3 linked regions of the Oryctolagus cuniculus genome follow. The protein of the gene in region 3 interacts with the protein of the main gene of each other region in a pairwise test. Links are inferred from orthologs where the notes say so. Each region holds a gene or a part of one and is shown on either strand. Other genes may lie near its edges.

Evidence for each region. The genes of interacting proteins can lie anywhere in the genome.
Region 1: the proteins of KPNA1 (region 3) and NUP50 interact in binary tests that used the Homo sapiens proteins (3 or more experiments, as listed by UniProt). The two-hybrid records come from large-scale screens. The link is inferred for Oryctolagus cuniculus from reciprocal best matches to the Homo sapiens genes KPNA1 and NUP50.
Region 2: the proteins of KPNA1 (region 3) and ANP32B interact in binary tests that used the Homo sapiens proteins (3 or more experiments, as listed by UniProt). The link is inferred for Oryctolagus cuniculus from reciprocal best matches to the Homo sapiens genes KPNA1 and ANP32B.

Annotation. Positions count from the first base shown.
Region 1 is NC_091442.1:119,913,213-119,917,515, reverse strand, and holds the start of NUP50 (nuclear pore complex protein Nup50), read right to left. Parts: upstream 2,817-4,303; 5' UTR 2,547-2,816; intron 1-2,546. UniProt on the Homo sapiens protein: Component of the nuclear pore complex that has a direct role in nuclear protein import. Actively displaces NLSs from importin-alpha, and facilitates disassembly of the importin-alpha:beta-cargo complex and importin recycling.
Region 2 is NC_091432.1:201,785,969-201,790,061, reverse strand, and holds the start of ANP32B (acidic leucine-rich nuclear phosphoprotein 32 family member B), read right to left. Parts: upstream 2,817-4,093; 5' UTR 2,459-2,816; coding exon 2,405-2,458; intron 1-2,404. UniProt on the Homo sapiens protein: Multifunctional protein that is involved in the regulation of many processes including cell proliferation, apoptosis, cell cycle progression or transcription.
Region 3 is NC_091435.1:78,713,285-78,717,624, forward strand, and holds the start of KPNA1 (importin subunit alpha-5), read right to left. Parts: upstream 2,819-4,340; 5' UTR 2,623-2,818; intron 1-2,622. UniProt on the Homo sapiens protein: Functions in nuclear protein import as an adapter protein for nuclear receptor KPNB1. Binds specifically and directly to substrates containing either a simple or bipartite NLS motif.

The DNA.
Region 1 (4,303 bases), on a different chromosome or scaffold from region 3:
ATAAATTCACTTTCCAGCCAGTACCTAGGAATTCTTTTTAATGCCACCCTAAAAACACATGGTCAAGTTCTGCTGTTCATGCTTGTCACACAAACAAAAACAAATGCAGCAGCAGACATAATTCCTTGCTGACCTGTTCCGAGACACAGGTCTACTTAAGCAAGCACTCTCCTGGCCATTAACCAAGACCTCCACCAGAGGGCAGGAGAGGGAGAAGCTGGAAGGGTCGGTCCCGCTTGCTATTACGGTTAGCGCGGCAGGCAGAAGGGGGTCGAGCTGAGAGCGCTGACAAAGCAGAACTTTTCCCTTCCACCTGGGACCCACAACGCGTCCGAACATAATCGCGATCAATGCAGCTGCTTCCATTTTCTAAAATATCTGTCAAGCCGTGGATCGCTGATGCGTTCCAAATGCCCAGACCGGCCCGGCCCACAGCAGGCACTATCTCGGCTGCTCAATCAGTGACCTGGACTAAGACCTATTTCAGAAACACCGCAAGGGGCCGGCAGGTAAAACCGCAGCCTGCAGGGTCGGCACCCCACCTGGGCGCCGGTTTGAGCACCGCTGCTCCTCTTCCCATCCAGCTCCCTGCTCCGGTCTGGGACAGCAGTGGAGGATGGCCCAAGTGCCTGGGCCCCTGCACCCGCGTGGGGGACCCGGAAGAGGCTCCTGACTCCTGGCTCCAGCTTAGCTCCTGCCACTCTCTGTAACTACTTCAGTTAAATAAAAATAAATCTTTGGAAAGAAAAAAAACACTACAAGGTGCTGGCATTCCACTTCTGTTTTCCAGCTGTGAGGCCTGGGCGTGGGAATTTTTGACTCAGGTTCTTTACCTGATCAAATTAACAGGAAGTTATGAGGGATGGATGAGATGAAAGAAAAAGCTTAGTTAGAAAAGCTCCTGGAGCCAGGGAAGAGCTCGTACTTGTAAGGACAAAGCGTGGGGGCCGGCGCCCGGCACAGCAGGTGAAGCGCCTCTTCTGAGCCGGCTCCCTGCTAGCACCCGGGTGCTGGGCCCCTGCACCCACGTGGGAGACCCGGAAGAAGCTGCTGGCTCAGGACCGCCCAGCTCTGGCCTCTGGGGCCATCTGGGACGTGAACCGGAGATGGAAGATCGCTGTCTCTCCCCCTCTCTTTAACTCTGGCTTCCAAGTAAAAATAATCTTAACCCGAATTTTGCTTCCCAGCCTGACGCTTTTGGGTGACGCAGCCGGAAGAAGCGGGCAATCCCGCAACAGGCCTGCACACCAGGTGCCTTCCGGCCACCGCTATTTTTTGGTTTCAAAAACGTTTGCCCAGGTACGACAGACTCCGAGACATGAAGCCGCGTCCACGGTAACTGGGAAAAGTCCTGTGGTCGCCCCTCCCGGAGCAGCCCTGCCCGTGGAGCCGGGCTCGCGAGGTGCCCGCAGCGTGGCAGGGACAGAGGTGCCGGGCAGAACCCAGACTCGGAACCGCCTCCCCGCGGAAGTCCGGCCCGGGCACGCAGCCCACAGCAGCAAAGGATGGGGCTGGAACACCCGGGACCCCGGCCCTCAGCGGGAGGGGGACGGCGAGGCCCCGCGCCCGAGCCCACCGCGCAGCCCCGGCCCGCTCCGCCTGCCCACCGGCGTCCTCCTACCTCCGCGGGGACCCCGCGCCCCAAGCCCACCGCGCAGCCCCGGCCCGCTCCGCCTGCCCACCGGCGCTCTCCTACCTCCGCGGGGACCCCGCGCCCCAAGCCCACCGCGCAGCCCCGGCCCGCTCCGCCTGCCCACCGGCGCCCTCCTACCTCCGCGGGGGCCGCGGGGATCCCGCGCCCGAGCCCAGCGCGCAGCCCCGGCGCCCCCGAGCCGGCCCTGCGCCCCAAGCCCACCGCGCAGCCGGCGCCCTCCTACCTCCGCCGGGGCCCGCGCCCGAGCCCACCCCGCAGCCCCGCGCCCGAGCCCACCGGCGCCCTCCTGCCTCCGCCGGGGCCCGCTCCGCCTGCCCACCCCGCAGCCGGCCCTGCGCCCCGAGCCCACCCCGCAGCCCCGCGCCCGAGCCCACCCCGCAGCCGGCCCTGCGCCCCGAGCCCACCGCGCAGCCCCGCGCCCGAGCCCACCCCGCAGCCGGCCCTGCGCCCCGAGCCCACCCCGCAGCCGGCCCTGCGCCCCGAGCCCACACCGCAGCCCCGCGCCCGAGCCCACCCCGCAGCCGGCCCTGCGCCCCGAGCCCACCGCGCAGCCCCGCGCCCCGAGCCCACCGCGCAGCCGGCCCCGCGCCCGAGCCCACCCCGCAGCCGGCCCCGCGCCCGAGCCCACCCCGCAGCCGGCCCTGCGCCCCGAGCCCACCGCGCAGCCCCGCGCCCCGAGCCCACCCCGCAGCTGGCGCCCTCCTGCCTCCTGCCTCCGCGGGGGCCGCGCCCGGGCGGGCCGCACTCACGCCGGGCGCGGGCGCCGGCCCCGAGAGGCGGCTTCACAAACAGCCCCGGCCGCGTCGCCGCTGCCACCCGCCCCTCCCTGCGCGGCTGCCGCCCGACGCCCCCTCCTCAGGCCGCCCCGCGGCCCCCCGCCCCCGCTCCGCACCTCGCCGGCGGCCGCCGCGGCTCCCGCTGGGTCGTGGGCGCGGCGCGGAGCGGGGCCGAGGTCGCGGTCGCTGCGCCCGGTCGCTTCCGGTGCGCTGGGAGCCTCGGAGGACTTCGTGGTCAGCAAGCCGGCAGCCCAACACCATGTCCCCCGGGGGCCTCGCCTCTCCGCGCTCCGCAGCGAGGGGACAGCCGTCTCTTCAGCCCGAGACCGCCGGGATCACAGCCCCCAACGCGCCCCGGGACGCCATCTTGTAACTCGAATCTACCCCTCAAAACCAATTCGAAAAAAATGAAAGAAACGCCCGCGTCCGGCTAGTGCGCAAGCGCACGGGCGCCTCCGCCAACAGTTCCTCCTTCGCCGGCCTGCGGTTGGGGGGTTGGGGCGCCGCAGGGCGCATGCGCACAGCTCCCTGGAAACCGTCCGCCGGAGGAACGCGCCCGCCCCACGCATGCGCGCCGCCTCAGCCGCGGAACCCGCGCCCGCGTCCTCGGGTCACGTGTCGCCCGGCGCTTGAGGCCGGCTGGCCTGACGCGCTCGCTGCTGAGGTGCCGGCCGGGCTGGCGCTTCCGGAGTGGCTCGAGAGCGCGTGGTCAGTCACTGGCGGGAGCGAGGCCCGTGGAGCTCCCGCGTGGGGGGCTGGCGGGCGCGGGGAGCCGGCCGCGGCCACTTCACGGCTGGCGCGGGCCTGGGGCTTCGTACCCCCGCCTGCGGCGCCCTCCGTGGTGGGGCGGCCCGGGGGCGTTGGGTCGGGGGGTGAGCTTGCGGGGCGGCGCGGCCGTTGTCGGCCCCCGCCCTCGGCAGGAAGGCCGTCTGGGATCAGGCCCGCGTCAAGATTCGTTTATTTTAAAGAGTGACGCCCAGAGAGGTCTTCGTCCGCCGGGTCACTCCGCAGGTGGCCGCAGCGGCCGGAGCTGAGCCGATCCGGGGCCAGGAGCTTCTTCGGGGTCTCCCCGGGGTGGGGGGGTGGGCAGGGGTCCGAGGACTCGGGCCGTGGCAGAGCACTGGATCGGCAGAGGAGTGCCCATGTGGGATGCCGGCGGGTTAACCCACGGCACTACGCCCCCCCCCCTTTTTTTTTGCTAACAGAATTCACAGGGCAGACCCTTCAGGATGTTGTAGAACCCATCGCAGCCATCCCCCTGTGGTGGCTGAGCGGGGCGGAGCCCAGGGCTCGTCCCAGCCCGGCGTCGCCTTGCGCGCGCTGCGTGAACGACGCTGAGTGCCCGCTGTTGGAAGCTGCACGGGGCGCCGCAGAGCCACGGCTGTGCCCTCGCCTCGCGGTCCTCCACCTGGTCCTCCACCTCAGTGCCTGTCAGCAGCCCTCGTCGCACCTCCGCCCCACGCCCGGCCTCCCTCCTGCTTCTCTACGTCCTCATCCTCGCCCCGTCTGGTAGCCATCCCGCTTTCTTCCTGTATTTCAGCCACTAGGATCCCTAGAACTGCCCTTAGTGGGCAGTAGGCACTCACCTGTCCACCACACGGGTCAACCCTTCTCTTCATTGAGACAAACGTCGCATTCCAAGTTCCTTTCTAACGAGTGACTTGTGGATCTTTGTTTGATTCTGTGTGAGGCTCAATCATCCCAGCTGTTTTTAGTGCTTGCTTACAAATTGGATGATGATTTTCAACTTAAATAGATGTAATCACTAGTCAGCTTGCTTTATGGTCTCTAGGTTGTTACCCATGTAAGAGACAGCTAACAGTAAGGGTGTTTTTTTTTTTAAGGTTTATTTATTTGAAAGGCAGAGCTACAC
Region 2 (4,093 bases), on a different chromosome or scaffold from region 3:
AAAATGGGGCAGGACCAACGACTGGCCTAATTAAAACTTTAATAGTCACACGCATCTTGGCAAGGTGGTCAAAAACTAAACTGATTACTTGAAAAAACTAATACTTTCACACACACATATTTTTAAAGCTATACTGCTCCATATGAGAAAGGGCACCATGGACTGGGAACAGCAGTGGCACTTATTTAGCAGAGAAAACTACTTGCTCCGAGCGTTTTAGCAGGCTTTTGGTTTGAGAATCCAGAAATTTAGATTTTAAAGACCTATGTCTGGGCTGGTGCCGCGGCTCACTTGGCTAATCCTCTGCCTGCGGCGCTGGCACCCCGGGTTCGAGTCCCGGTTGCTTCTCTTCCAGTCCGGCTCTCTGCTGTGGCCCCAGAAGGCAGTGGAGGATGGCCCAAGTGTTTGGGCCCCTGCACCTGCATGGGAGACCAGGAGGAAGCATCTGGCTCCTGGCTTTGGATCGGCGCAGCGCCGGCTGTAGCGGCCATTTGGGGGGTGAACCAACGGAAGGAAGGCCTTTCTCTCTGTCTCTGTCTCTCTCACTGTCTGGCAGAAAAAAAGAAAAAAAAAAAAAAAGACCTATGTGTGCACCTTTCTTAGGGGGAATTTTGGCTAAATTTAGATACTGTATTGATTCCCAACTTCCAAGCAATAATGGAAACTCTGGCGTTAAGCCCTCCAGGTGAGAACGAGCTCTTCAAGGTGTCTAACCACGCAACACGCAGCACGTGGCGGGCACAAAATGTCTGACTCGACCCCGACACCCGCCAAAAGGCCACCCACCCAACTCGGGGTTTCAGGGCGCCACCACGCGCGCCCGCTGACCTCAAGGCCTGCAGGTAAACAGCCCGGTCGGCCGATCCCACCAAGTGTGCAACTTGCTAACCACAGCCACCTGAGCACCCGCCACGCGGCCTCCTGCCGCCAGCGACTCACCCGCCGCGGGCTCGGGCGGCCGCGCGCCGCCTCTCCACGCGGGGGCTCGCGCTCGCTGCGATACAAGAGGCGACGCTCCCGGGCCGGGCCCACGCACACGCAGCAGCGGCCCGAGGCCGGCCGCGGCAGGCCGCACCCTGGCACGTGCGGGGGCACAGGCCACCGCACGGCCCTGCGCCGGCCCCAAGACCGCGCGAACGCCCGCGCGCCAGGCCTGCCGTTGCCCTTTTAAGAAGGGGGGAGGGCGCCGGCAGCGCGCCCGCGAGGGGACGAGTCGGCTGCAGCCGTAGCGCGCGGCGACCGCCAGTGCGAGCCGAGCCCCGGCGGGACGGGACACACCGAAGGCTCGGCCCGGGAAAGCGCGGCGGGCGAGGGCGAGCGGGCCGCGCCGGAGCTCCGAGCCGCTCGGCCGGCCGCCTCACGCGGCGGAGGGAGACGGGCGCCCGCCAACATGGCGCTGTGGCGGCCTGTGGCGCGCCCGGGCTGGCGCGAGCGGCCGCCGCCCGCCCACACCGAGGGGCCAGCCTCCCGGGGCAGGGGCCCCCGGGCTCCGCGGCGGCGACTGCGACTGCGACGGCGGGGGTGGGGAGGGCCCGGCCGCCGCCACAACGCCTGCCCGTGGCCCGCCCTGAGGGGGCCGCAGGGAGGATGGCTGAGGGCGTCTCAAAGGAGAGCGAGGGCAATGGGGGAGAAAGTTTTATTTTTAGGCTTGAAAAATGGCGGGAACCGCGTCCTTTTTTCAAACTTGGCCTCGGGAGGGGCGGCGGTTGCGCCACCTCCGCCGCCCAGGCCCGCCCCTCCCCCGCTCCGCGCGCCAGGCCGCGCCCGCCCGGGCCCCCCAGCGCCCGAGGGGGCTTCTGGCCCCCTTCAAAGGAGCAGAGCCCCCTTGCTCGCCCCCGCGGCCCCTGCCCTCGGCCGGGCCGACGCCAACCGCGAGGCCCGGCCGGCGCAGCCCCCCGCCCTGCCCGCCGCCGGCTCCCGCTCCCGGGGCCGGCCCGGGGCGTGCGGAGTCCGGCGTGGCCGGCGGCGGGCCCAGCCGGGGATGGCCGCGCGGCTCCCGGGCAGGCCCGCCTCCGCCCGGCCGCGCATCCCGGGAGGCTGCAAACATGGCTCCCAGCGTTACACAACCCCCCGCCTCCTTCTCTCGCCGCCGGCCACACGCACACGCGCTCCCTCCGGGAGAGGACCCCGGCGGGCGAGGAGCTCAAAGTTTGCGCTCCCTCACCCCGTCGCCTTCCCCGGGCGGCCGCGAGGGCCCGCGGGCGCCAAAGAGTTAATCCCCGCGCGCTCGCTCCCCCCCTCCGCCCGCGCCCGCCCGCCCGCCCGCCTTCCCCGTCCCAGCCCGCGAGCTGCGCCCTTCCCCGCGCCGGAGCCCGCGAACCCGCGGCCCGGGGCCCCCGCAGGTGGCCACCATTACATGCAAGTCATCGGGGGGGAAAGGGCGCCCGACGGGGGCTCTGCTTACAGCTGCCGGGGTCCGGTTCCTCAGCTCCAGGTGGATCCTCCTCTTCATGTCCATGTTCCCCTCTTCCCCCCTCTTCAAACTTAACTTTCCGCGGCGGGGGCGGAGGGGGGAGAGGCGTCCCGGCCTGCGCAGCGAAGGCCGTCGGAAGGGGGTCTGCTCGCGGCGGAGGCCGGCGGCGCGGTCCCAGGCGGCGTGCGGCGTGCGGGCAAGGCGAGCGGAGCCCCCGGAGCCAAGTTACTCACGGGAGCGGAGAGAAACCATGGAGGGAAAAGGGGGCTGGAGCGCAGCGCTGCTCTCACTACCGCCGCCCCCGGCCGCGGCCTCGCACTGCGCTTAAACCGGCGACGCGGCGCGGCGGCTGCTCGGCTCCACTCGGCCCCGCGCGGCGCCGCTCGGCTCCGCGGCCGCGGCTGCTCCGAGGACGGGGCGGGGAGGCGCGGCGGGAGGGCGGGGCGGGGGCGGGGGGAGGCGCAGCCCCGGGGAGGGGAGCGACTTCCTCCCTCCCTCCGCCTGCACGTGGGGCGGCTGATGTAAGACCTTGCTCGGGGGCTTCTCCGCCTGCCGCCGGGCCGAGACCCCCGGCCCGCCTCGCTGTGCTCTGCGATGGGGTGGGGCAGGGCTGGCGGGAGGCCCTCCTGTCGGGGATCGGGGGTCGCGAGGGGCGAGTCGGTCCGCGGAGGCTCCCCCGACGCCCGCGGAGGCGCGAGATGGGCAGAGAACTCGGCGCGGGGGCCTGGGGGTCGCCCTTCCGTTCCACCCCCTCCCCCTGCACAATCGGGGGCCGACGGCCCGAACCCTGGCGCCTCCTGGGCCGGGTGGCGTCGGACGCGCAGCCCAGGACCCAGGGGTGGGCGGCATCGCGGCGGGCCCGAGCTGCAGCGCGTGGCAGCGGGCGGAGTTGGCCCCGGGCCCGGCCGCCTGCCTCAGCCTCAGAGCCGCCGAGCGTCCCCCCGCCGCGGAGGCTCTCCCTCGCTTTTCTGACATTTTGATGCCCGAGAGGACTTCCGAAGGAAACAATGAGCATTTCCGCGGGGCGGCGTGGGGGGTGGGGGGGGCCTCGCAGTTACACCGTTCTCCCCGCTCACGTCTAGCGCAGTTACAACCTAGGGCCCCCCGTGAGGCACGCCGAGTCTCGGTGGTATCCATTTTGGTGACGCCTGTCAGGCCGCCTTTGTCATGCTCCGGCTCCAGGGGTCCCACGGTTAGAGCCCCAGGTCCGGGCCGTAGAGTTATACTCAGCAGAAAGTAAATAAACAGCATGGTATGTGCAGTCGGATACCTTCTTATTTCTAGTGTGGACAAGAGGCAGTTTTTTACAGAAAAAACTCCATGCATTAACTGAGATAGTTTTATGGGACTGAAGCCCCTTCCCCCGTGGTTTTACCCAAGTGGCAGACTATAAATAGCCCAAACTTAGTTTTGAAGCAATTACATATCAGTTTTTATGATAATGAATTCTCATTTCAAGAGGACGTTTTAGAAGGATTACGGAAAGAGGCGAATCTTCCCAGTTGGGAGTTTCCTCCTCTCCTTGTAGTCTCAGCCACACAGCCGTGGAGAGGGAAAGTGGAGAGGGGTGTGCTCCTCGGGAAGGCACCTGGGGACCTGTCATTGGGAACCAGGCAATGAGGGCTTTTATCAAAAAATTACAGGCAGCTACCAAGCATGCACCTTTAGGGGCTTGCTACG
Region 3 (4,340 bases):
GTTTAAAAAACAAACAAGTCTAGCGAGTACCGGGGTCTTAAGAAGAATGTCTCTAAGGTTTGTATTTTATAGAGAACAATAAATAAGAAAGTGTCTTGGATGGTGGTATTTTTTTTCATGGTCCCTTTTGGGAGGGATCTTCAAAATGCCCATGGAAAGTGCTTATCAAAGAAAAAACTATGAATGTATTTCAAAGAAATTTAATGTTTAGTTATTCACCTTCATCTACTTGAAAGGCAGAGTGACAGAGAGAGGAAGAAACAGAGAGATCTTCCACACACTGGTTCACTCCGCCAACTGCCAGGGCTAGGCCAGGCTGAAGCCAAGAACCAGGAACTCCATCCTGGTCTCCTACAATGGTGAAAGATCTCAACACTTCAGCTACCATCCACCGCTTCCCAAGATGCACTATCAGGAAACATGGCAGCGGATACTCAAACCAGCACTCCAACATGAGATGCAGGTGTTCCAAGGAGCAGCTTAACCTGATGTGCCACAATGCTCACCCCTCAAACTCTTTTTGTAAAATCAATCTTTTAATTCCATCTTTTCATGAAATCTTTGGAAGCATTCACATATTAACTCTAGATAAAGTCAAAGAACGGAATATTAAATCATGCTTCTGTGAAAAAACGCTATGAGGACCACTTTAGAAAATAACACAATGTCGTACTGACTTCAGGCGATGTGTTTATTTCTGTCATTTAGTTTACTCTAAGTTTCTCTAAATGTATGCTTTGTTTTCCTACAGGCTAATTTTCCTCAAGGCTTATTTTGTCTGCTTCCATTTGAACTTCCTTTGCTATTTAGTGGTTTACAAATCTGCTCAATTTTAATGACTGATAAAATGCCATGTAGTCAATACCTGCATTAGTTACTTGTTAGCCTTCTCTGCTACTCTATCAATTTCATGAAGTCAGAGATAAGTGTGTCATGATCATTACTACATCTTTAGTGTCAGTCACATAAATCGCTCCACAGAATGAATGGATTAAATCGAAAAACACAACTCAGAAGTTATGAAAGGAGAGAACCAATTCTTAAAATGGCAGTGACTTTGGGTTCTAAGGTTAGTCCCAATGAGTGCTGCCTCTTAAACAAGTTACTTAACTTCTCTGACCTTCAATGCCTTTTCATCTGTAAAGCAAAAAAATTTAACAGCTACTCAAAATTTACTATGGGGTGGGCCTTGTGGTGCTGGTAAAGTCACTGCCTTGGCTGCCTTGGGGACCCGGCTGCTCCACCTCCCATCCAGTTCTCTGCCAATGGCCTAGAAAAGCAGTGTAGGATGGCCCAAGTGCTTGGGCTCCAGCACCCACGTGGGAGGCCAGGAAGATCCTGGCTCCAAGCTTCAGCCTGGCCCAGCCCTGGCCATTGCAGTGTGTGTGGATGGAAGATCTCTCTCGCCCCCGCACCCTCCCGCAGCTCTTTCAAATCCATACACAAAAATCTTTATAAAAATGTTAAGAATTGTGTACATTACACAGAAAGGAGTTCAATAAATATCAACTCCTTTACTTTCTCACGCCCTCCATCCTAAAATCATACACAAAACAGTGTCAAGAATAAATTATTTCAGTAAAAGTCCAATAGCGCTCATCCTCACTTTCCTTTGAAAAATCAAATTTTCATCTCTTCAAAATCTATAAGGGGGGTGGGACAATAACTTGTGGAGTACTTCCAAAATATTAGAAATGCAAAAAAAAAAGTTAAGAAAATAATGTCAAGAATGAGGCTTGAAGCAGCAACAGGGATGGAAAAATCGCGTTATCTGCCTCCCTTACATAGTCAAGATTTTGAAGGGGCCGTTTACGAAACACGAACGGAAAAGCTACCTAATAACTAGCAGGCTCTGGAACGAAAACATTTCGCGACTGTTGAATTTAGACCTTAAAAATCAGAGACGACTATTTTGAAACTTTCAAGTAACTTGAAGCACTCTCCGCCCGACCCCGCCGCCAGTGCCGGGCTCCCCGCTCGCACGCGCCGCGCAGCCCGAGTTCTGTCATTCCTATAATTACCACACCCCCGGCCGCCGAGCCGGCCCGGCCCTGCCGCGGTGACACCGGGAAACTGCAGTCGCCGGCCCCGGCCCCGCCCCGGCCCGGGTCCGGGCTCCAACTTGGGAACTCCGCACACGGAGCCCGCCCGGCCCCGCGGAAGGCTTTCACACGCATCTCTGCCCCGTCCTGCCTGTCATCGCGCTCCGCGCTCGCGCCCACCCGCGGCCCGCCCGCCCGTCCGCGCCAGGCGGCGGCGCAGGCTGCGCACTCGCCTCACGCCGCCCCGCCGCCTCGGCGTCCCGCAGTCCCCGGCGCCGCTTCCAGCCCCGCCGCCGCCGCCGCCGCTACCGCCGCGCTGCCCCGCCTCGACCGGCGTTCCCGATGGCGATCGCACCAGCGCTCCCCACCCCCACTCGGCCCTCCGCCGGCCGCGCGGCCGTTAGAAAGCCGGGCCCGTGACGCACGGACGCGCCGCAAGGGTTTGGGCGCAGGCACCCGGGCTGGAGCCCACGGCCGGCGCCTAACCTCGCCCCCGGGGCCTCTCCCGCGTCCAGCCGAGGACAGCCCGGATCCGCCGGCGGGAGGGGGAGGGGCCGCAGCCGCAGGGCCCCCAACTCACCAGGCTCTAGGCAACCGGTCCCGGTGCCACTAAGCTGAAGCGCTCACTCGCTCGCCCGCGCGCCGTGCCTCTCTCACGCGCACAACCTCGAGCAGCCGGTCCGCGCTTCGGCGGTGCCCACCAGGCCTCGCTCTCCGCCGCCGCGCACCGAGCAGCGAGACCCAGCTCAGCCGGCGTTCGCAGTGCGCCTGCGTGCGGGGGCCGGCCCGCGCGCCTGCGCAAGCTCCTCCACCACCCGCTGCAGTGGCTGCCGGGAGTTGTAGTCTCCAAACGGTCGCCCACCGGCAGTCCCCAGTGGTTGGCGCCCAACGGGTGAGGAATTCCCGGTAGAGGAGAGGGCTTCTAGGAGCAGGCTTGCAGCCTGGGAAAGGTTGGAGAAAGTGATGTCCGCAAACCTGTCTTTACTGATCTCTTCTAGGACGGATCGATCCTCACTCATCTCCGTCTACCCTCTAACTAGGCAGGTATCAATTTCAGTCCGTGTTTCTTGAATGACTGATGGAATGAATGAAGTGTTGTCAGCGCCTCAGGGCTTAAAGAGTTACCTTGTGGCGTGTTTGCAGGAAACTTCTAGGTATTCCTTCTTCAGTTCTCTCCCATCCTGTTTGCCTGAAAATATATGCATGACGTCAAAAATCATGAAGAAATGACTTGCTTTATTCTCAATAAGCGCTGTCAAACGGAAATTGTGGGGCAAATGACTCTCACTGTTAAATTTGATGAAATTCTTCTTTGGAGGAAGCAAATGGATTAGTGGCTTGTGGCGGGGGGTGGAGTGTGTGTGTGGAAGAGTAAGACTGCAGCCAGTCAAGCAGAGGTCACAGAACAGAAAAGTCTCACTGAGGTCCTAGTTTGCCAAACCAGTTTCAAACACACACTGAGGAGCCAGGTGGAAGAGCTGGGGTGGATTAATACATTTCCCGGTGTAGGGTGGGGAGAGAGGGGACTGCACTAATTGGAAGCTCAGTTATGCAATGCTCAGTTGTCCTGGATCTGTCTCTGCTGCCTCAGCATTCCCCCAGCAATGGTGTGTTTACTAGGACCAGGGCTGAGTTTGAGCCAGGTGGCTGGGGAGGGGGTGGTCTATGGGACAGAGCTAGAGACAAGTATGCATGACGGCAGCCGGGCTGAGGACAGCTCACCTTATCCCAATCAGGAGCTGAGGGTGGTTGTTGAAAGCAGAACCTCCGTCTTTGTGACTGTTCACCCTTACTCATAGCCAAGACATACATAGTCCTAGAGCACCCCGACCGAAAGTCTTGAGTGTTTATCAGGGCTCCTCCTCTTTGACAGAGCCTTCTCAGCTCCATGAGACAGCCGAAAGCTCTGCTCACTTTTTCAGCCACTGTTTTTAGAATCAGCAATCACCTCAGGTTTGGAAAAGTGAGGGCAAATGTCAGACTCGCCTCTCCTAGCTCTCCTCTCGTTCCACATCTTGCATCCAGAAATCCTCACTGCTTTAGCAGCTCTTCAGCGCATTAGCATGTTTGATTTTGCACCCAGGTTGTTCTCCATGGTGGAAGAGTTGGCCCAAAACGTTGTTGGAAGCATAATCCGTATATATTATGTGTCATATAAAATATTATATATAATATAATTATGAATTATCATTATTTTAAATTATAATTATTGATTATATGTTGTTTGCAAAAATGTTATCATCCCATATGTTGTGTTTTATAAACTAATGCTTCTCTAGCTCATTTTTTTGTACTTTA